4 linked regions of the Cricetulus griseus genome follow. The protein of the gene in region 2 interacts with the protein of the main gene of each other region in a pairwise test. Links are inferred from orthologs where the notes say so. Each region holds a gene or a part of one and is shown on either strand. Other genes may lie near its edges.

Region 1 (4,867 bases), about 140 Mb from region 2:
GTGCACAGAACTAGCAGCAGACTGGTTAAAAACAGCTTGCATTTTCAACTTCCCGTAATAGAGGCCACATTTTTTAGAAATGATCAGATTAAAATAAATATGTCTTTACAGTTACAGGATAAAATTTTAAGCTGGACAGGCACCAATGCCCTGGTTCTTCACTCTTTTTCATAAACCATATGACTTTCACATGCTGAGAATGTTTTATGCTTTAGCCTGCAGTAAAGGCTTTACATCATTTTAATGCCCCTGTGCTCAAAAAGCAACAGAATCAGCCTGGTGAATGCAAGAAATACTTGGTGTACATGGAGTCATTTTTTTTTTTTTTTTACCAGACTACTCGTCAGAAAAAGTTTAACAAATGCTTTTCCCATAAATAACTTCACATATCCATTGATGAAAATAAACAAAAAGAAGATATGAGGAAAGGGTAGATGAAAAACACTCATTTTTCTAGATTGGAGCGTTCCAGTTTGACATGTCTAAAATGACTATTAAACACTTAAAAATTCCATGACTATCAGAACACATTTCATAAAAACACAAGTAAGCAGCTATTATACTGTTCCATGGAATTTTCTCCCAGTTTTTGAAAATTAATGTTTCAGGTTAAGGTAAGGCTTAAAACAAGCAATTCTGAAAATCCCTGTCTTCAACAAACCAAAGGCAGAGCTTGGCATAGCACATTCAGTATACGAAATTCTATTCAGGTCAATTTAAATAGAAAATGCTCAACTTCATGCTAACAGTCCCCTTATCTGTGTGAATAATCAACAGCAAAAATTTCAAAACAAAGGCTAAACCTACCACAAAATCCCAGTGCATCTATGTTGCTTTCAGATGCTATGGAATCTAAAAGCCCCTTCCTGATAGATGAAACATTTAAGAACTGATACATTTTGACCAAATATACAAATACGTTAAATTCTCAAGTCAAATAGAAATGATACCAATTATTCTTTTGGTTATTTAAAAGTCTGTAATACAACAAAATTAACACAGTCACTGAAGAAGTTGTATTTTGGACTGAGGGAGTACAAAATGTATGATCTTAAATTCTCCTGGTGTAAGGTCATTAAATATTCAAGACTGTGAGAAACAAGAGATGTTTCATTCCAACTCTAATTTGAAAATTGAAAAATAAAATCAGATTTTCTAAACTTGACTTATAAGCATAATTCAACCAGATCTAGCAACTTAGTTGTGCAATTTTAATAAGTCTAATGCAAAGCACTAGAAACCTGATGTGATAATTACTTGTGGCATAAATGCGAAATAACAACAAATTCGGGTTCTTTTCACTTAATGATGCATTTTATAGTGAAACCACAAAAAGCACAACCCATATTAGCACAAAGTAAGCAAAATTTTAAAAAAAGCACAGGAGGTATTATTATGTCCATCAGGAAGAGAAATGTTCTGTGCCAAGGAAGGAAGGAAGGAGGGGGAGGAGGAAGAAAGGGAAGAGAAGATAGGAAAGGAGTAGGCGAAGGTTTCCATTATCTGTAGGTCCCCAGAAAAAGCAGCACGTGACTGTACCCTACACAACACACAAGGTCTTTTTTTTTAAGCATCCGACAACATAGCAATCACTTTTATCCTTCAACTTTACATGGCATGTATCTTTACTGCTAAGTGAATTCTTTGCTTCACTTACCCATGCTTCCTCACTCTTCCATACCAGTTTTCAAGCAAATGTGAGACAGAACAGGGTGGGGTAGAAGAAAAATAGATGCAGCGCCTTCCAGCGCACCACCAACCCTCTTCCCCGAAAATAATTTCCAACAGTTTTTTCAACTACGAAAATAAGTCGCCCTATCTACCTTAGGGCACACAGCAGACATTCTGTCTCATTAGTAGACACAGATGCATATGCCATTTAGCACTCCAGACTCCCAACCCCACGTCCCCGAATTTTAAATAATTGGCAAGCAAGCCACTGAGCATGAAGATGACAAGATACCTTTACTTACTGTTTCGGGGTAAAGGTGGGCAGAGGACTCCTTTCAAAGTAGCCCCAATAGTGTAACCAAAACACGGTTCCGGAATAAAATATTAAGAGACACTTTTCCTTTCCCACCTTTAGCTGCGGACTTGAGGAGGCAAAATGCATCTCCACATCACATCATTTGTACAGTCCTGCCGTCGGGAGTTTGGGGTGGAGATTGGCCCAGAAGAGGGCACGGAGTGTGAGCTAGCCACCAGACACGAATGAGTTGCCGAACCCCCAAAAGCCTGCACAAGGTCCACAGAGCAAAAGTCCAGCCCGGGACTCACGCATGCTTCCCAAGCCCAGGCCGCTTATCTTCGACTATCTAACTTACCATCTACAGACATTCCTTCAAGACGAGCCCAGCACCCGAGTACACGTCACAGTTTAAAACAGCGAGACACTCCCCAAACAAACCAGCACACCTCGAAACCACCTCACAGTTGCTCAAACTCGCAAGCAGGAAGACCCCACCTCCAGAATTCAAACCTTCCGCCGGTCCTGGAGACCAGGGAGAAGTTAGGGAGCCGCCGTCGCCTCTCTGCGCCAGCCCCTCACAAACTGCCCCACCCCACAGCCCGCGCACCGCCGCCCCCTCGGGAGCCCCCTTCTCCCTCACTTGCTCCCTCCCCAACGCAGCCACTCCAGAGACCCATCTGTGGCGCCTACTCACTTTCTCTCCCCCCAAACCCCTCCAAAACATTTTTTCCCCTTAAAGTAATGAAAGAAGTGAGGAAAGAACTTAAGGCAGTCCGGGTCGCAAACGACCCCACTCACCTCGGAAACCCAGATGAGTTCTCTGCACCCGGGCTCAGCCCCCTCCCCAGCGTCCCAGAGCAAGGCTGAGGGAGGGAGGGAGGAGGAAAACGGGAGGGGGAGGGGATCTGCACCGCGGGGCGCCCTGCGGGAGGGGCTGAGGAGGGCTCCAGGCCCGCGCAGGAAGAGCAGAGGGGGGAGGGTAGCCCTCTGTCTCTCAGTCTCCCCCTGAAAACCTCGCTTGTCTCAATCACATCAGACTGACTGTCTTTGTCTGGCTGACAACCGCCATATTGATAGCAACAGCCCCGCTCCCACCTGCTGCCGCCGGGCATCCCTGGGAGTTGTAGTTTCCGTTTCCCTAGAGGAAAAGTGCAGAGCTAGGGGTCCGAGGCCCCAGGGAACTACAGCTTCCAGAAGGCACTGCGCCCATACGCCTTCCCACAGGGAAGGGGGAGCCGGGAACTGGAGCAGTGTGGACTACATATCCCAGAATAACAAGGATTTCAGATCGGGAAGGGGGTGGGGGTCATGATATCATTCAGGGATGGAAAGGAAGGATGAATTGGCGGCGGCGACGAATTTAAGGGGGCAGAAGGAGGCGTTTAAAGAGAACAGGGAGGAAAAGGAAAGACGGTCACAGCTCCCATAATTCCTTCAGTAAAACTACATTTCCCGTGATGCTCCGGAAAGTGCGTGAGAAAGGAAAACTTCAACTCCCGCGATGCTCTCTGTGGCGGAGATTGAACCGGAAAACGCTTCCCTGCTTTGAGAAGTGAAGAGAGTGGTGCTTAACAACCAAAACTCCAATATGAAACTGGTGAGTTTCCTCTCCTAAGTCAGAGGGCAAAGATAATGCCCTCTGGATTCTGTGGCCTCCACCATGACTTGTCGCGGAGGTAGGTCAGCAGTTAGAAAACTAAAGTGAGGTGAACTGTGGCGAGCTGGGTTTTGCAGTTGAGATTTGAATTCCCTCTTGCATACACACCACACTCCCTGTCAGGATGTCATTCATTACTGTTTGGTAGGCCCCTTTGGCCAAACATGAAGCTGAATATTACATTTCTTCATCCTCGAGGAAACTCTAAAACTTTTGTTTGGTCGTGTTTCTCGGCTCCCACCTGAGAGTTATAATGGGTCATCCCCTCTTTCCACTTGATAAGCTCTTCAGTGGATTCCCTACTGATGTTGCAAAGCCGGACTTAGGCATTGCTCATTAAATGTCCTGCTACATCCTAACTGCCTTTCGAATTAAGAGAAAGCGGTGCTAGAGGGTGCTCGTGAAGGATTTAGCCAGAGCAGTGTTGAAGCATTCCAGTTTAGGGCCTGCGCGAAATAAACAGCTCTAGGTGGATGGAACACGCTTTCTGGAGAAGTCACTGTGTGGCAAGAGTTAGGCAGACTTCTCAGATCTTTGCTTTGAGCCATTTTATTGAGCACACCATTCTAACAGGTTGTTTTATTCAAGTGTAATGGGATAATTGATAGAGTTGGACATTATCTACAGGGAGATAAATGTCCTCAATGTAAGGCATATTTGGTTGGTTCGGTTTGAGAAGGAAGTGGTGTGCAAATGTTTATCCCAGAACAATTTTTATGAGGGTATCAGAGTTTATGTTTTTTTTTTTTTTTGCTTCACTCATAAAATCCTATTGCTTGATTTATATGTAAGGTTAAAATGGGAAAGGAACAAATGAAAAATTAGCCTTTTGCTTTCAGAATCAAAAGCTGACACCAAGGAAAGGAAGAGTTCTAATTAACACTCCCTCTCTCTTCGATTTCAAACCAAGTGTAGATTTCCATAATTAATCCAAGTGACCTTTAATGCAGAATTACTGTACATACACCAAAGTGATTTCAAAAAATAGTTTCTCAATAGGTTAAATTTGTGTGCTGTGGCTACCAACGGGTTTTAATAAATTTCTCATGCCCTTAAGTTTTAACTCTGTGCACTGCTTTAGGAATGTGGAGTTAGCTGTGGTGTTTTGTTTTGTTTTGTTTTTTAGATATCTTAGGGGCTAAGGATGCAAGTCAGTGGCAGCAGGCTTCTCTAGACTGCACGATACATTCTTTGGGTTTGGTCTTCAGCATGGAGATAATGAGTTATGTCATGAAACATGC
Region 2 (4,625 bases):
CCTCCCAAGTGCTGGGATTAAAGACTTGTACCACCATGCCTGGCCAAAGTTGTGTCTTAATAAGGTGGTGAAATCATGGTTATTCACTTGTCAGAATTCATGTAGCTATACATTCACAACTATTCATTTCACTGTTCTGTATAGTTACATTTTAATACAAAAGTGTAAAAGCAGTTCTACGATGATGCTATTTTCTTGCAGATCTGCCCATTTCTGCTCCATATTCTTGTGTTACTGATGACTGCAAATTAAGAATGCTGTCAGTGAACTGAACCTTTCTGTTCTGTGTACACACTAATGTCCTGCCTACCCATTACTCACTAGTTTATTTTCCTCAAGCCAACCACTTACAGTCTGTAGATCTGTCTTGGTCTAGAATTGATTTACACCAAATCCCATCACAGAACAACTTGCATGTGACTGACAGGAGGTCACTGTCCTGTCAGTTGGACGACTATGGATCCCACCCCACCCCCTGGCTTTTCAGAACCAACTGGCTTATCAGTTCCGTTTGGAGAAGCATGATCAACCAAAACAGGTGGAGTATGGTGACAGAGACTTCACAGGTGCTCATGCATAAAAGGGCGAACAAGAAAGGCCTGGTAGCAGGTGCGTCAGGGACAGGTTCCGTAGAAGGTGTGCCGCCTAATACGGAAACTACTGGAACCTTATGTCTGTACAGTCACGTTAGCTGGGCTGAGACTTCACCGTACCCACTGAGAGACCACCCGAAGGGGCCTAAAGGTGATCGGAAGGTTGGCGGGGGTGAATTGGGAGGGTGTGGTCCCTGTGCCCCCCCTTCACACCCCCCACCCCCACCCCCGCTTCCAGTCCTGCAACTAGCTAGCTGCAGAACCCAAGGCAAACTACCTACGTCACTCACTGGTTGTAGCTACTGGCGCTTTCCATGTCTGGCCTCTTACTGGTCAGCCGATGCAAAAGAGGGAGGGATAACTAAGTATTCTCCTTCTGATTGGTCAACTCGTGCTGGTTCTTGTCAATTAGAGATAAACCTCGTTCTCTGCCATGTTGGATGGCGTGCTGCAAAGCCTGTCCTTTTCTAGGGCGGTCACACAACAGCCGGTGCTTTCCTCTTCCGTTGTGCCCCAATATGTTGATCCAGTTAGTAAAAATGCGCTCTTTCTGTTTAAAGTTTAGGTGATTAGACCGAAATAAAGCAAGGCTCAGTCCCTAGCCGGAGAGCTGGGTCTCATTCTCGTGAATCTGTTATTATCTCGGCGCCGATGAGACGATCACTGAGCAACTCTCTTGGAAATTACGTTTTATTTTGGCTTGCTGTGGTGGTCATTTGTGTAGCTTCAGATAGTTATGCTTCTAGAATGCCCCGTTCACCGCAGGCTTCTATCAGAAACCATCATTAGACTTTAGGTGGATGGAGGGCTCGGGTTTGTGACAATGAGAAAGGACATTGCGTGTCTTTTGGACCCTCGCACCTCCTGTAGCGTACCTAGTAACCGAGCCCCTAGTAACCGCCCGCCCCAAACCAGGATCTGCGAAGTCGAGGGCGGCGCCAGCTCACCCGCCCCGGGCCGGCGCGGGCGCTCGGGCTCGAGGCGGGAGATGGCTTCGCTGCACCGGGCGGCCAGGCTGGTGTCCGGCAGTCTCCACCTGCCGGTGAATCCCACCACCGAACCAAGGGTCGCCCAGAACGAACGCGAAGACGTCTTGGAGACCTTGGTGTCGTCGGCGTTGGCGGTGGCCTTGGAGGAGGAACAGAAGACAGAGACACGGCCGGCGCGGGCGTTGGTAATGTGGGAGTCGGGCTGGGGCTACGGCTAGTCCTGGTCCTCACCGGCGGCGGGGACCGGTGGAAACGAGGTGCCCTGCTCTCTGCCCCGACTAAAAATTGCTGCAGAACTTTTTTGGAGAGCGTTTTTATAGCTGTTTCTAGAGTGTGCAAAGAACAGAACTTTACTTCCTATTCTCTAGCATATTTTGGGAATAATTGTTTGTTTTTTTGAGACAGGGTCTTTCTATGCAGCCCTGACTGTCCTGGAATTCACCAGGCTGGTCTCAAACTCGCAGAGCTCTGCCTCTGGAGTGCTAGGTTTAAAGGTGTGTGCCATGCCCAGCTTCTATTCACTTTAAAAGTCCAGAACTTTGAGTTTCAGCTAGCACTATGCTGATACAAAGACCCAGACACACAGGCATGTGCCTGCCACACTTGGTTTCCTAGCAGTGCTAGGACTGGATGGAGACTTTTGTTTTGTGCTTGCTAGGCCAGTGTTTGTACTAACCGACCCATGACCTTGGCTTTTTTTGTTTTATTTTAGACAGGGTCTCTTTTGGTCTAGGATGGCCTCAAACTCCTGATCCTCCATCTTCCAAATACTGGGATTAAATGTAATGAGACACCAAGCCTAGCCTGTAGCAAACTTTGAAAAGCAACCAACTTGAAGTTGTTTAGATTAAAGCAGATGGAGAAGCTGAACATGAGTGAGGCTCAGAATCCTAGCACGGGTTTTATACTTGATAAAGCTACCATTCAGTATAAGTTGTAATAGATTACAGAAGACAGAATATTTGATGGAGAGAAGTATTTGGATCCTGGGTGACTTTAGGACATGACTTCCTTTTCCTTATCTATAAAGGACTATAGTTGTCTCCGTTTTTTTTACCTTGTTCAGTTGTTAATAAGAACCAAAGGAAAGCATGAGTGTCATTTCTACGAAGTAATTTACATAAATTAGTAGTAATTATAACAACTGCCAGTTTGAATAATTTACTTGGAAATTAATTTATACTTTGGCTTGTTGTGGCATAAAGATCCATTCTTTGTATAGTTGTAGTTATATTTCAGAGTGCCTGTTAACTAAAGATTTACATTATAAACTTAGTTTGGGTTTCCAGGACCCAAGTAAAAACCTGGTATGTTGGCATTTGTCTGTAATCCCAGTGTTGGAAAGGAAAGAGACAGGCACATCCCTGAAACTTACTGAGAGCCCCCACTCAAAAAGTGAGGTCACACACACACACACACAGAGAGAGAGAGAGAGAGAGAGAGAGAGAGAGAGAGAGAGAGAGAGATTAAGGATTAGCCACCATGGGAGGAGGACTACGATAAGGGTCAGGAGGATCCCATATTCACTGAGAAACAGTGGGTGGCATGTTAGTTGCTGTGATTTCAGATCCTTAAATGTGAAGAATAGAGAACAGTGTATTCCAGAGGGGAGTAGGTGGGAAGATGAGTGACTGTTCCTCTGGTGGTTTCTGTTTTCCTAAAGAAAGGGTTATAAGAGCAATTTGTGGGTACGCCTGGGAGCAGCCAGAGGAGCAAGGGAAATGCAAGCATAGTTGCTGGGGTAATGGGAGCCATTTTCCAAAGGAACACAAGGTGTCGAGCAGGCCAGGTATCACTAGACATTGCTTGGTGTCTATAATTTGGTATTAGCATTCATAAAATGTTGTCTATTGTTTGGAAAGCTACATGTCAGTTATGGTGATAACCACTGAATATAGTCTCCTTTCCAAATATATAATGTTAGCGCATTTAGAAAACTGGGTCAGAAGAACTGTGAGTTTGAGACCAGCCCAGACTACATGGAAAGTTCCAGCCCAGCCCAGGCAACATTGCAAGACCTTGTCCCAAACTATAAACAAACAAACAAATAAATCTCAAACATTAGCTGGCTGCAATGGCTCACAGCTATAATCTCAGTACTTCTGGAGGCTGAGGTATGCATATCTCACTCAACATTGTTGTAAAACTCCTTCCTCCTCCTTTCTTCCTCCTTCTCTCCCCTCTTTTCTTCTCTTTTGGAGTCAGTCTCTCACTGTGTAGCCCTGGCTGGCCTAGAACTCATGGAGACAGGCTGGGCTTCAAAGAGACTTACCGCCCAGATTAAAGTCATGTGCCTCCGTGCCTGGGTCCAAAGGACCTCATGTAGAACAGGCCAGTCTCGAGTCACTATGTAGCTCAAACTGACCTTGAACTCAGGGTCCTTCTGCCTTCTGAGTGCTACCAGGCTCAGCACTGAAAAGAAGAAAAGTTTAGGAAGAATTCCAGAACTTCAGATAAACTCTGTAGACCACAACACAAATAATTCCTCATGGTGCTGACACTAGTACCACCTCAGAGAGGGTTGGTTCATCCGTAAGTGGGTCAAGCCAATCTCAGGATTAGTGCCTTACCTAGTGGTGCTTACAACATGAAAAGCTTAACTATCAAGAGGGGAGAAGATAACCGAGTGTTGCATGTGGTGTCCGGCACACTACATGATCCTGGGGCAAAGGGCGAAGGTAAAACTAGAATCAGGAGTTATTTCGCAGCCATTCATCTGTTCTAGGTTAAAAGTGAAACAACCAGCCGGGCGTTGGTGGCGCCTGCCTTTAATCCCAGCATTTGGGAGGCAGAGGCAGGCGGATCTCTGTGAGTTTGAGGCCAGCCTGGTCTCCAGAGCGAGCGCCAGGATAGGCTCCAAAGCTACACAGAGAAACCCTGTCTCGAAAAACCAAAAAAAAAAAAAAAAAAAAAAAAAGTGAAACAACCAGGAGAGTTTATTTGAGTTTTGCTTGCATTAACAGTGAGTAGCCACATGCAGACCTCAGTGTGTGTGTGCAGCTCCTCAGGCCTGTCTCTGCTTCCACCCTGCTGTGTCTCCCTT
Region 3 (4,596 bases), on a different chromosome or scaffold from region 2:
GAGGCACTGCAGAGCAGCAGCCAGCTTCACCTGGCAACAGGCTCCCTAGCAAGTTCCATGCTTGCTGCCTGAAACCCACACTGCCCACAACACGGTCAGTTCTGTGACCCCAGTGCCTGTTCTTTCCAAAAACCTAAGCGTTGGCCAAACACTGCTGCAACAAACACAATTGCAAAGCAGAGCAATTGGAACTCACAGCATCTTAAAAACCTCTTCAACACGTGACAACAAAATCTGACCTAATTAACCTGCTAATTCCTAAGACTCCAGGAAGAAATGATTCTCTAGCCCCCAAACAAAAACTCCCAGCACACAACACTAATACCAAATTGTTTCTAAAAAGGACATTCAAACGTTTAGTCCAATCTTACAGAAATGACTACAGCCAAGAGATGCATCAAGGCAGTGATTATTCACTTGCGAACTGATCTCTGCAACCCCACCGTGAGAGCATAAGTGCAGCTTCCTTGAGCACCATGAAGATACCGATCACGAATGAACAAAGTGGGCTCGTCAGCACAAAGCTAAGCAACCCCTGTTCCATGTGCCTTTCACCTTGGGTTTTGCAGGCTATCCCACTTTCTCCTTCCCCTACCACTGACTCTGGAAGAGAAGGCTCTAGCACACCAATTCAGATGTAATACTAAAGATACACAAGGTGTTTCAAGCTCTGAAAGTCTCATCTACCCAGGAAGAGGAGGAGCCTTGGGATTCAATGTTCAATCATTTCTCCCCTGAAACAAAGTTTCATTACAGCTCTTGTAATGTTCAAGAAAGCCTCTGAAGACTTTACCAATGGAATCAGTCCTAGTTATCCACAAGATTTCCTCAGGAAATTGGAAATCCACAAGACACAAACCAGGATTAAGACATAAAATCCCAGAGATCCACTCCTCACAGGTCCACAGCAGGCATGGACAAGTCTAAGACACAGAATGGGAGACACTACATAGCTCATTGCTTCACAGCCCCAGTCAAAGCATAGCCAGGTACTCTGGTGGTGCATACCTTTAATCCCAGCACTGAGGAGGCAGAGACAGGCTGATCTCTGAGTTCAAGGCCATCCTGGTCTACAGTGTGAGTTCTAGGTAAGCCTAGGCTACACAGAGAAACCAAACCAAACAAAACAGCAACAACAAAAACCCAACTCTGAAACACATTCCCAAATCTAGGCAGTTACCCAAAAAGGCACAACAGTGCAGCAGTGTGGTCACATGGCTTTGGAGAATACCCATTTATTCCCAAACTGAATTCCATGGGAATTTTACCTGTGCTTAGAAAACACCAGAAACCGGGCGTTGGTGGCGCATGCCTTTAATTCCAGCACTTGGGAGCCAAAGGCAGGTGGATCTCTGTGAGTTCAAGGCCAGCCTGGTCTCCAGAGCGAGTGCCAGGATAGGCTCCAAAGCTACACAGAGAAACTCTGTCTCGAAAAACAAAAACAAAACAAAACAAAACAAAAACCCACCAGAAACATCACTTTCCTAGTGGTTACACAAAACAGTCAGCAAGCTAACACATTAACAAGATCATCCCACAGACATTTAGTGGCAGACACCTTGGTTTCAGTTTGGTTGGCATACCTGTGGAAGCGCAGTGTTGAGCTGCCTCTGCAAGGAATCTCTTTCATGACCAACCTCATGCAATTTCCCCTGGGTTAACGCCAGTGTTTCTTGTGTCTCTCTCAGAGTGTCCAGAAGGCGGTCTCGTTCTTCCAGCATGGAGACCATGAGCTGCTCAAAATGTGAATCAGCATCTGGCTGTGAAGGGGAGCCTGACCCACGGCTTCCACCTCCTCCTGGGGGGCCTTCCGCTTCACTAATGGTCGGCATCACCTCGCACATCATCTTGAAACAGGAAAGATGCAGACAATAGTCAGTAGGTGCAGAACAAGCCTGCAGCTTTCCGAGCACCACCTGTGGCTGATGAGCAAATGCTGACAAGTCCCACACTGTCAGAGCTGCTCACCTTGGATGCACACACTATGGCAAGTAGCATGCACGGACCAACAGGAAGAGCAGACTGGGAGATGGATGCCACAGTCCCAGGAGCAAGGGGAGCTGGAATGCTCACCTCTCCCACCCAGGGCAAATCAGCGGAGTCTGTTGAAAATCCGCACTCTCAGCAGCTGAAGACAGTGGGCTTCTGTTAACTTATTTTGTTCTTCTCCAGGAAGAGACATTCAAAACATATTCCCTCAACACCAGAAGACGGCTGAGAACTGACAAGCACCAGCGCTATGGACCAAGGCATCTTCCAGGAATGTGTGCAGTCAGCTCCTGGGAAGGACTGCCGGGCTCCCTGACTTGTGGGGCTGGATATTTGGTGAGCAGCGGAAAAAGCAACTGGATTGGCTCTTTAAGGCCTGGACAGAGGTGTTTTTGCAAAGGCCTGCTGCTGTGCAACGGTTGGTCAGCCAAGCTAACTTACATAAGTTTACAGTCAAAGAGGGGGCAAAAGAAAAGAGAGAGTTTCCACACTGAGAATCTAGGAAGTCGGGACAGCAAGACTAGATAATAAAGAAGGAGAAGAGAAAGGTGAGATGGCACTAGAGATTGCCAGGGCACAGGGCGGGGGATGAAGGGGATGTCCTGCAGGTGCACCTGATCATGCCGGGATGATCCTGCCATCGAGGACTCCGCTGGTCCTGCCTGGCTCAATTGACCCCAGTCTCACTGCCCCCAACCTCGCTGACCCTGGCCAATTTAAGCTGACTCAGACCTAACTGATATCAACCCGCCTTGGCTGACCCCGGCTCGGCCAGGCTAATCCCAATCTTGCTGACCCCCCTCCCGCTGACCACCTCCCGCTGACCCCGCCGACTCGGCCCCGCCGACCCCGGCCCGCCACCCTGCGCGGCCCGCTCCGCCCGCCCTTACCTTGGCCGGCGGGCGCGGCTCCGGGGCTACGCGGCAGCCTTCGGGCGGCGGCCGGCTGCGGGCCGACCCACGCAGCCCCGCAGCTGCGTCCTCGCCCGGCCCCCGGGTCCGCCGCCCCGCTCGTCACGAAGGCCGGCCCGCCGCCGCGGGACACTGGCGAGCGCAGAGGACCGGGCCCGGCGCGTCGCCGGCGTCAACGTGCCTGACGTCCGGCGCGTCGGCGCGAGCGTCAGCACCGCCCCCTGAGGGAGAGACGGCCACGGAGCTATGCGCATGCGCCAGCTCCGCGGTAGTGGGAGGGCGGCCTTTCCCGAACGTCAATTGGCTATTTCTCTCTTTAGCCGCACCCTCCACTCCGCCCCCGAGCCAGGCCAAGCCCCGCCCACCGGTGGATTCACAGGTAAAGAACTATGGCAAGTGCGCGCAGTTTTCAGTCCTGCTGTTTTCCGTGCTGTCACTCCAGCGCGTGCGCTGACGTCACCCGAACGCCCACTCTCAGACCCAAGAGTTCTGCTGAGTCTCCGAGTCGCGCCGGGCCATCTGCAGGACCGAAAAATGATGACAGAGACCGGGCAAGGTGCCTGCCTGGAGCTTATGGCCTAGCCTTCAGAAGTCTGAGGCAGGAGGATTGCTTCGAGTTGGAGTCCCTGTCTCTAAAAATACAAAGGCGACTGCCGTCAACCCTGACGACTGAGTTCGATCTCTGAGACCCAGAAGAACTGCATTAAATAGATGCAGTTCTAGGAACCCACGTGGTCCTGAATGTTATCCTCTGACCTGTACACGCCTTGTGACTCTCATGCATGCACACACATGCACACACACACACACACACACACACACACACACACACACACACACACACAAATGAGTAAGCAAATGTAAAAACAAAACACAAAATTTAAGGGCTCAGCCACCCTTGCAAGTATGAGAACCTCCATTCCACTGCCCGAACCCACATAAAATAAAAAGCCAGCCAGTCTTGATGCTGCAAGCCTTTATTCCCAGCATTCAGGAAGCAGAGGCAAGGTGATCTCTGTGAGTTCCAGGCCCACCTGGTCTACATACTGAGTTCCAAACCAGCCAGGCAGCCAGGGATAGTGAGATCGCTTGGAGAGAGAGGGGGGGGGGTCTTCATAGAGCTGCACGGAGAAGATCCCATCCCACTGCTTGCTAATGCTCAAGAGTTTTCCCAAGCTTTCTGGCTGTGGAAATCTCGGCTCCTGATGCTTTGCACCCATTCACTATAGACCATATATCTGCAGAGATGGCTGTGAGGAACAGAGACTACAGGACCATTGCCCCCTCTGAATCACAGAGACATGGCTGACATTCAAGGTGTTTTGTTTGTTTGTTTGGATTTTTATCCCATTTATTTGTTTATGTTGTGTGTATCTATGTGTCTAAGAGTACGTCTGCATAAGTACATGACTCAACTTGAATAGAGGCCAGAGGACAACATGCAGTAGCCATTTCCCTCTTTCAACCACGTGAGTCCCAAGGATCAAATTTAGGTCATAAGGCTTGGTAGCAAGTGCCCTTGCCTGCTGAACCATCTCACTGGCCTGCATTTTATTTTAGAGGCAAGGGCTCTCTGAGACAGGCTAGTGTACAGCTCTCCATGCTTCCGTCTCAGCCTCACAAGCGCTGGGATGACAGGTATATGCTATCACACATACCATCACCTCAGGTCCCTCTTTTTATTGATCTTTATGTC
Region 4 (4,552 bases), on a different chromosome or scaffold from region 2:
CAATCTGAGGCTACTCCCAGGGAAGTACATAAGGCCAAGAATGAGCCAAGTGTGTGCCAGCGGAGGCACAAAAGTTGGAGTCACCTTTTGGAGGCAATGGCGTCTGAATGTCACCCTCCCCCAGGAGTGCCTTCCCAGGGCACATGGAGGCATCCGGCAGTTACGTTTGTGTATCACTGTCACCCCAAAGAAGGTAGCAGTCTGACTCTCTGAGAGTCGGTCTTCTTTAGAAGTATATTTACAGAGATGAATAGTGACAGCAAACACATTGAAAGAGAGCCAAAGTGAAGATGATGGGGGTTGCCTCACCTATACTCAAATCAACAATAATCAACCAACCACAGACATAAAACTCATAATAGGGGCAGGGGGACCACAGGGGTTTGCTTTTGTGTTGTGATGTACGTATGCATGTAGGAGAGGGCACGGTGCGTGTGTGAAGAACGTGGCATTATACGTGTTGTCTGTAGGCTATGTGTATGCATGTGTGGTGCTGTGAAGGTATGTGAGTATGTTATAGCAAGGTGTGTGTGCTGTGTGTGATGTAATATAGGTGAGTGAGTTCAGGTGAGTTAGGGTATATTGTGTTATGTGTTTACACCAACTTCAGAGTTCCTAAGCCAGTAGCTGCTCTTTTTTAAATATTTTATTTATTTATTATGTATACAGTGTTCTAGAGGGCACCAGATCTTATAGATAGTTGTGAGCCACCATGTGGTTGCTGGGAATTGTGAACTCAGGACCACTGGAAGAGCAGCCAGTGCTCTTAACCTCTGAGCCATCTCTCCAGCTCCTAGGTGCTCTTTATATAAGCAAGGATACTACTTAGAGAAAAGTTCATTCATGAAATTACTGATAACAAAAATTAGTTACAGTCGGGCTGGAGAGATGGCTCAGTGGTTAAGGGCACTGGCTGCTCTTGAAGAGGGCCTGGTTCCTTTTCCAGAACCCACATGACCACTCACAAGCATTTGTAACTCCAATTCCAGGGGCTCTGATGCCTTCCTCTAGAGTCCACAAGCTCCTTCGTATATATGGTTCCACAAGCATACACACAGACATAAAATAAATGAAAATTTAAATTACAGTCCAAATCATCAGAACTAAAGAAACAAGAGTGCATTTCACAGGAAATAATGGATTTTTCCATTGGACAGTGGGCACAGCTTTGTGGCAGGTCTTCCTGTAAATTCTAAATCACCTAGAACAGGGCCTGACAGCTGCTCTGTAATGGACCAGGTAGTTAGTATCTGCCAGGGGCTTTGGGTCATGCTAAGTGCTCAGGGATTGGTTGGTTTTCTGCTCAGGGGCAGGACAGATCTGGTTTTGGTTTCAGGGCCCAAGTGTGTTTCTTTCACTGGTCCTTTTTAGCCTTTTGGCTCTAATTTTAGGGCCAGGATGTATTTCTTTCACTGGCTCTGATTATAGGGACAAAGCACGTTTCTTTGGCACTGGTTTCAGGGTCAGGGTGTGTTTCTTTGGTTCTAGTTGCCAGGCCAAAGTGTGTTTCTTTTTGGCTCTGCTCAGGCTGTGTTTCATCAGCTGGCCCCTTTTCCCTCATATGTTTTCTTTATAAGACTTGCCTTGGTCAGGTGTCTCTTCACAACAATAAAACAGTGACTAAGACAATGGGCTTATATTGGTCTATTTCTGAAGCTAAGGAGTAAATTCCTGCCTGGTGCTCATGGAAGAGTTTCATAAATAATTCCAGGATATAGGTGGAAGGACAGTGACCTGTGAGGTCTGATCTGTGGGGACATCAATAATCTCATTCTTCATGACAAGCCCCAGGCCTGTGTCATCCTGAATCCCTTGGAGCTGCTGAGTCTCCTTCACCTGCTATCTTCATGGAGGACTGGCCCTGTACCCAGACAGGAGCCCTGGAGAATACATTCTGTGCCTGTTTTCTGTGGCTCTCCCAGGGCCGCAGATGCCAGAGCAGTGGTTGAAACCTACTCTGATCCTGGTTCTAAATAAAGACCTTTGGAAACTAGATCCCAGTTTATCCTGAAAGGTCTGAATGGTTTATTCGGCTAACTTGTGATTCCTTTTCTCTACCCAACATAGCAAGAATAAAACATGGCTGGGTGGTGGTGGTGTATGCCTTTAAACCCAGGACCCAGAAACCAGAAGCAAGCAGATCTTCGAGTTAGAGGCCAGCCTGATCTACAGAGTGATTTTCATAACAGCCAAGGCTACATAGAGAAACCATGTCTCGAAAAACCAAAACCAAACAAAGCAATGAAAGAATAAAACGTGAAATTAAATGAAAAAAATCAGGAAGTTTTCACTGATGTATGCTAAAATTAGTCACTGAAAACACGGCTAGAAGCAGGACTTTACACAAGCAAGCACCTCCCCCGAAAGGTATTTATTATTTATAACGGGAAAATAGTAACCTAACTTTGCTTATTTAGTTACTTTTTTTGAGACAGGGTCTCTACTTAGCCATGGGTGTCCTGGAACTATGCAGACCAGACTGGCCTCGAACTCAGAGATCTGCCTGCCTCTGCCTCCCAAATGCTGGGATTAAAGGCGTGCCCAGAAGAAAACAGTAACTTTATGATAGCCATTTGATAGACACCACTGTCTCCTGGGAGGCACGAGGGCAGAATGCTAAATGTTAGTAACTCAATCTTATGTTAAATATCGGGCCAGCCGAGGATGAGATGCAGTCTACAAAATAACGGACTTATGAAGTCAGCGGGGCAGCGCGGCGCTGATCCAGGCTGCAGAGCAGGGGGAACACTGCGGCTAACGTGCTGATTCGGGGCACCCTGCACCCAGTGCCGCTGCCGGCCTCGCGATGGTCGCCCGAGGCTACTACTTCCTGAGGGAGGCGTCTGGGGAGCCTGGGTCAAAGCCCCACGGGAGCCGGAACCTGAAGCGATGGCCATGCCACTCACCCCGTGCTCCATCGGCAGGGCCCAGCGAAATCCTCGTCGCCTCCCGGCGCGCGACCAGGCACCGCGCCAGCCCGCTCTGGGGCCGCCGGGATTCCGAGCGCCAGCACTAGCTCGCCCGCTCGCCCGCCCTCCGGTCGCACCTCTAGCGCGGGCCACGTTACCATAGCGACTGGAGTCCGCGGCCTGGGTCCGGGTGCACTGTGAGCATCGCTCCGATCCCTCCGTGCAGAAACAGGAACCCCAACACAGAGTTCCGACCTCCGCGGGGTCCACACTGGCATTGAATAGGGTTTGCTGACCTGTGGGACTCCCTGAGTAGTGCAAAAGCCCGCACCTGTGGCGCTCTGTGTCCTCCCCCCAGGTGGCCTGAGGGTCCCCAGGGTGCCCATCTTGTAGCCCCAAAGGGCTAATTTCATCTGCGAGGAGGCGCCGGCAGGCGGACGGGCTGGGAGCTCAGGTGGAGAGCCTGCGAGTCGGGCGTGGGGAGTTGCTCCGTGGACGCAGATCTTTCCTGCATTGCGTTAGTGTAGCCTGCACTTGGGACTATGGCAAGGGTGCAGTGGACTGCACATGGCAAGGTTGGAGGGAGGTTGCACCGGGGGCCGATCACCAGGCGGGGAGGGGGGGCGCTAAGTGAAGGGATCGGTCGTACTTCGGAGCTCTGGGTGAGGGGCCACATTGAGTGCTCTCCAGGGTTTGCCCTGATACCTCAGGCATCAAAAGGTGAGCGTTTATGCAGGACCCAGGCTTTCATGGACTAAGTAGAGTTGAATGGAGTGAAGCAGGTTACTGGGAAGGGCCTGCATGAGCCCAACATCAGGCTTGCGTCTGTTGCAGGCGTGCCTCTGTTTCTGTCTTAGCTAGTCATTTAAATCCTCGGGTTATCTGAGGGCCAAGGAGATGGCTCAGTGGATGGGCGAGCCTGATGACCAGAGTTGCTCTCTGGGACCTACATAGTGGAAGAAGAAAACCAATTCCCTTGAGTTTTTCTCTGACTTCCATATGTTGTGGTGTGCATTCGCACCATCACACAAAATAAATAAATAAATAAATAAATAAATAGGTAAACTGTGTGGCCCAGCCCTGGGTCAGAAGCCAGCACTGACTCACACACCTCAGCCAGCACAGTTCCCAAGGGATGGGGAGTGTCTGGGAATCCCGTGCTCCAGGAGGGCAGCATCCAGTGGTCTAGCGTCATTCCTACTTTCCTGCCTTACATTCTGTAGTCTTCCTAACCCCATCAGTCTTTCCCTTGTACTCGCTGTTCCCACTTCCTGATAGCATGCTTGGTGCTTGATCTGAACCCTCCCCCAGACAGCTTGCCTTTGTCCTTCCGCTGCTATCTCCTCAGCCATATCTGAATCTCTTGGACCCCTAAGGGCCTTTCGTTCTATTAGAATGTGAGGAAGAACCAGCTGTCAACTCTTTGCTACCTAATTCAGAGCTCCTGCCTTAGCTGTGGAGTCCAAGAGGCAGACCCAAGCCAGAAATATGCTCACACCCTTGTTTCTGCCTTACTCAGTCATATTCCTGGGAGTTTCCTAAGGTGATGGGGGAACTGGGGCCCCCGTGTATATGAAAATGGCCAGAGAAGGCTGAGAGGACCCAGCCTAAGCTGAGTTCTCAAAGTAGGGCTAGACTACCCA

Evidence for each region. The genes of interacting proteins can lie anywhere in the genome.
Region 1: the proteins of Fam161a (region 2) and Hmbox1 interact in binary tests that used the Homo sapiens proteins (3 or more experiments, as listed by UniProt). The two-hybrid records come from large-scale screens. The link is inferred for Cricetulus griseus from reciprocal best matches to the Homo sapiens genes FAM161A and HMBOX1.
Region 3: the proteins of Fam161a (region 2) and Ppfia1 interact in binary tests that used the Homo sapiens proteins (3 or more experiments, as listed by UniProt). The link is inferred for Cricetulus griseus from reciprocal best matches to the Homo sapiens genes FAM161A and PPFIA1.
Region 4: the proteins of Fam161a (region 2) and Ccdc57 interact in binary tests that used the Homo sapiens proteins (3 or more experiments, as listed by UniProt). The two-hybrid records come from large-scale screens. The link is inferred for Cricetulus griseus from reciprocal best matches to the Homo sapiens genes FAM161A and CCDC57.

Annotation. Positions count from the first base shown.
Region 1 is NW_023276807.1:219,978,742-219,983,608, forward strand, and holds the start of Hmbox1 (homeobox-containing protein 1), read right to left. Parts: upstream 3,082-4,867; 5' UTR 2,768-3,081; intron 1-2,767. Other genes in the region: Ints9 (integrator complex subunit 9), read left to right, coding at 3,558-3,566. UniProt on the Homo sapiens protein: Binds directly to 5'-TTAGGG-3' repeats in telomeric DNA. Associates with the telomerase complex at sites of active telomere processing and positively regulates telomere elongation.
Region 2 is NW_023276807.1:83,751,559-83,756,183, reverse strand, and holds the start of Fam161a (protein FAM161A), read left to right. Parts: upstream 1-1,510; 5' UTR 1,511-1,581; coding exon 1,582-1,767; intron 1,768-4,625. UniProt on the Homo sapiens protein: Involved in ciliogenesis.
Region 3 is NC_048596.1:56,801,585-56,806,180, reverse strand, and holds the start of Ppfia1 (liprin-alpha-1), read right to left. Parts: upstream 3,082-4,596; 5' UTR 2,880-3,081; intron 1,992-2,879; exon of another isoform or gene 1,969-1,991; intron 1,848-1,968; coding exon 1,584-1,847; intron 1-1,583. UniProt on the Homo sapiens protein: May regulate the disassembly of focal adhesions. May localize receptor-like tyrosine phosphatases type 2A at specific sites on the plasma membrane, possibly regulating their interaction with the extracellular environment and their association with substrates.
Region 4 is NC_048600.1:133,405,887-133,410,438, forward strand, and holds the start of Ccdc57 (coiled-coil domain-containing protein 57), read right to left. Parts: upstream 3,082-4,552; 5' UTR 2,907-3,081; intron 1-2,906. UniProt on the Homo sapiens protein: Pleiotropic regulator of centriole duplication, mitosis, and ciliogenesis. Critical interface between centrosome and microtubule-mediated cellular processes. Centriole duplication protein required for recruitment of CEP63, CEP152, and PLK4 to the centrosome.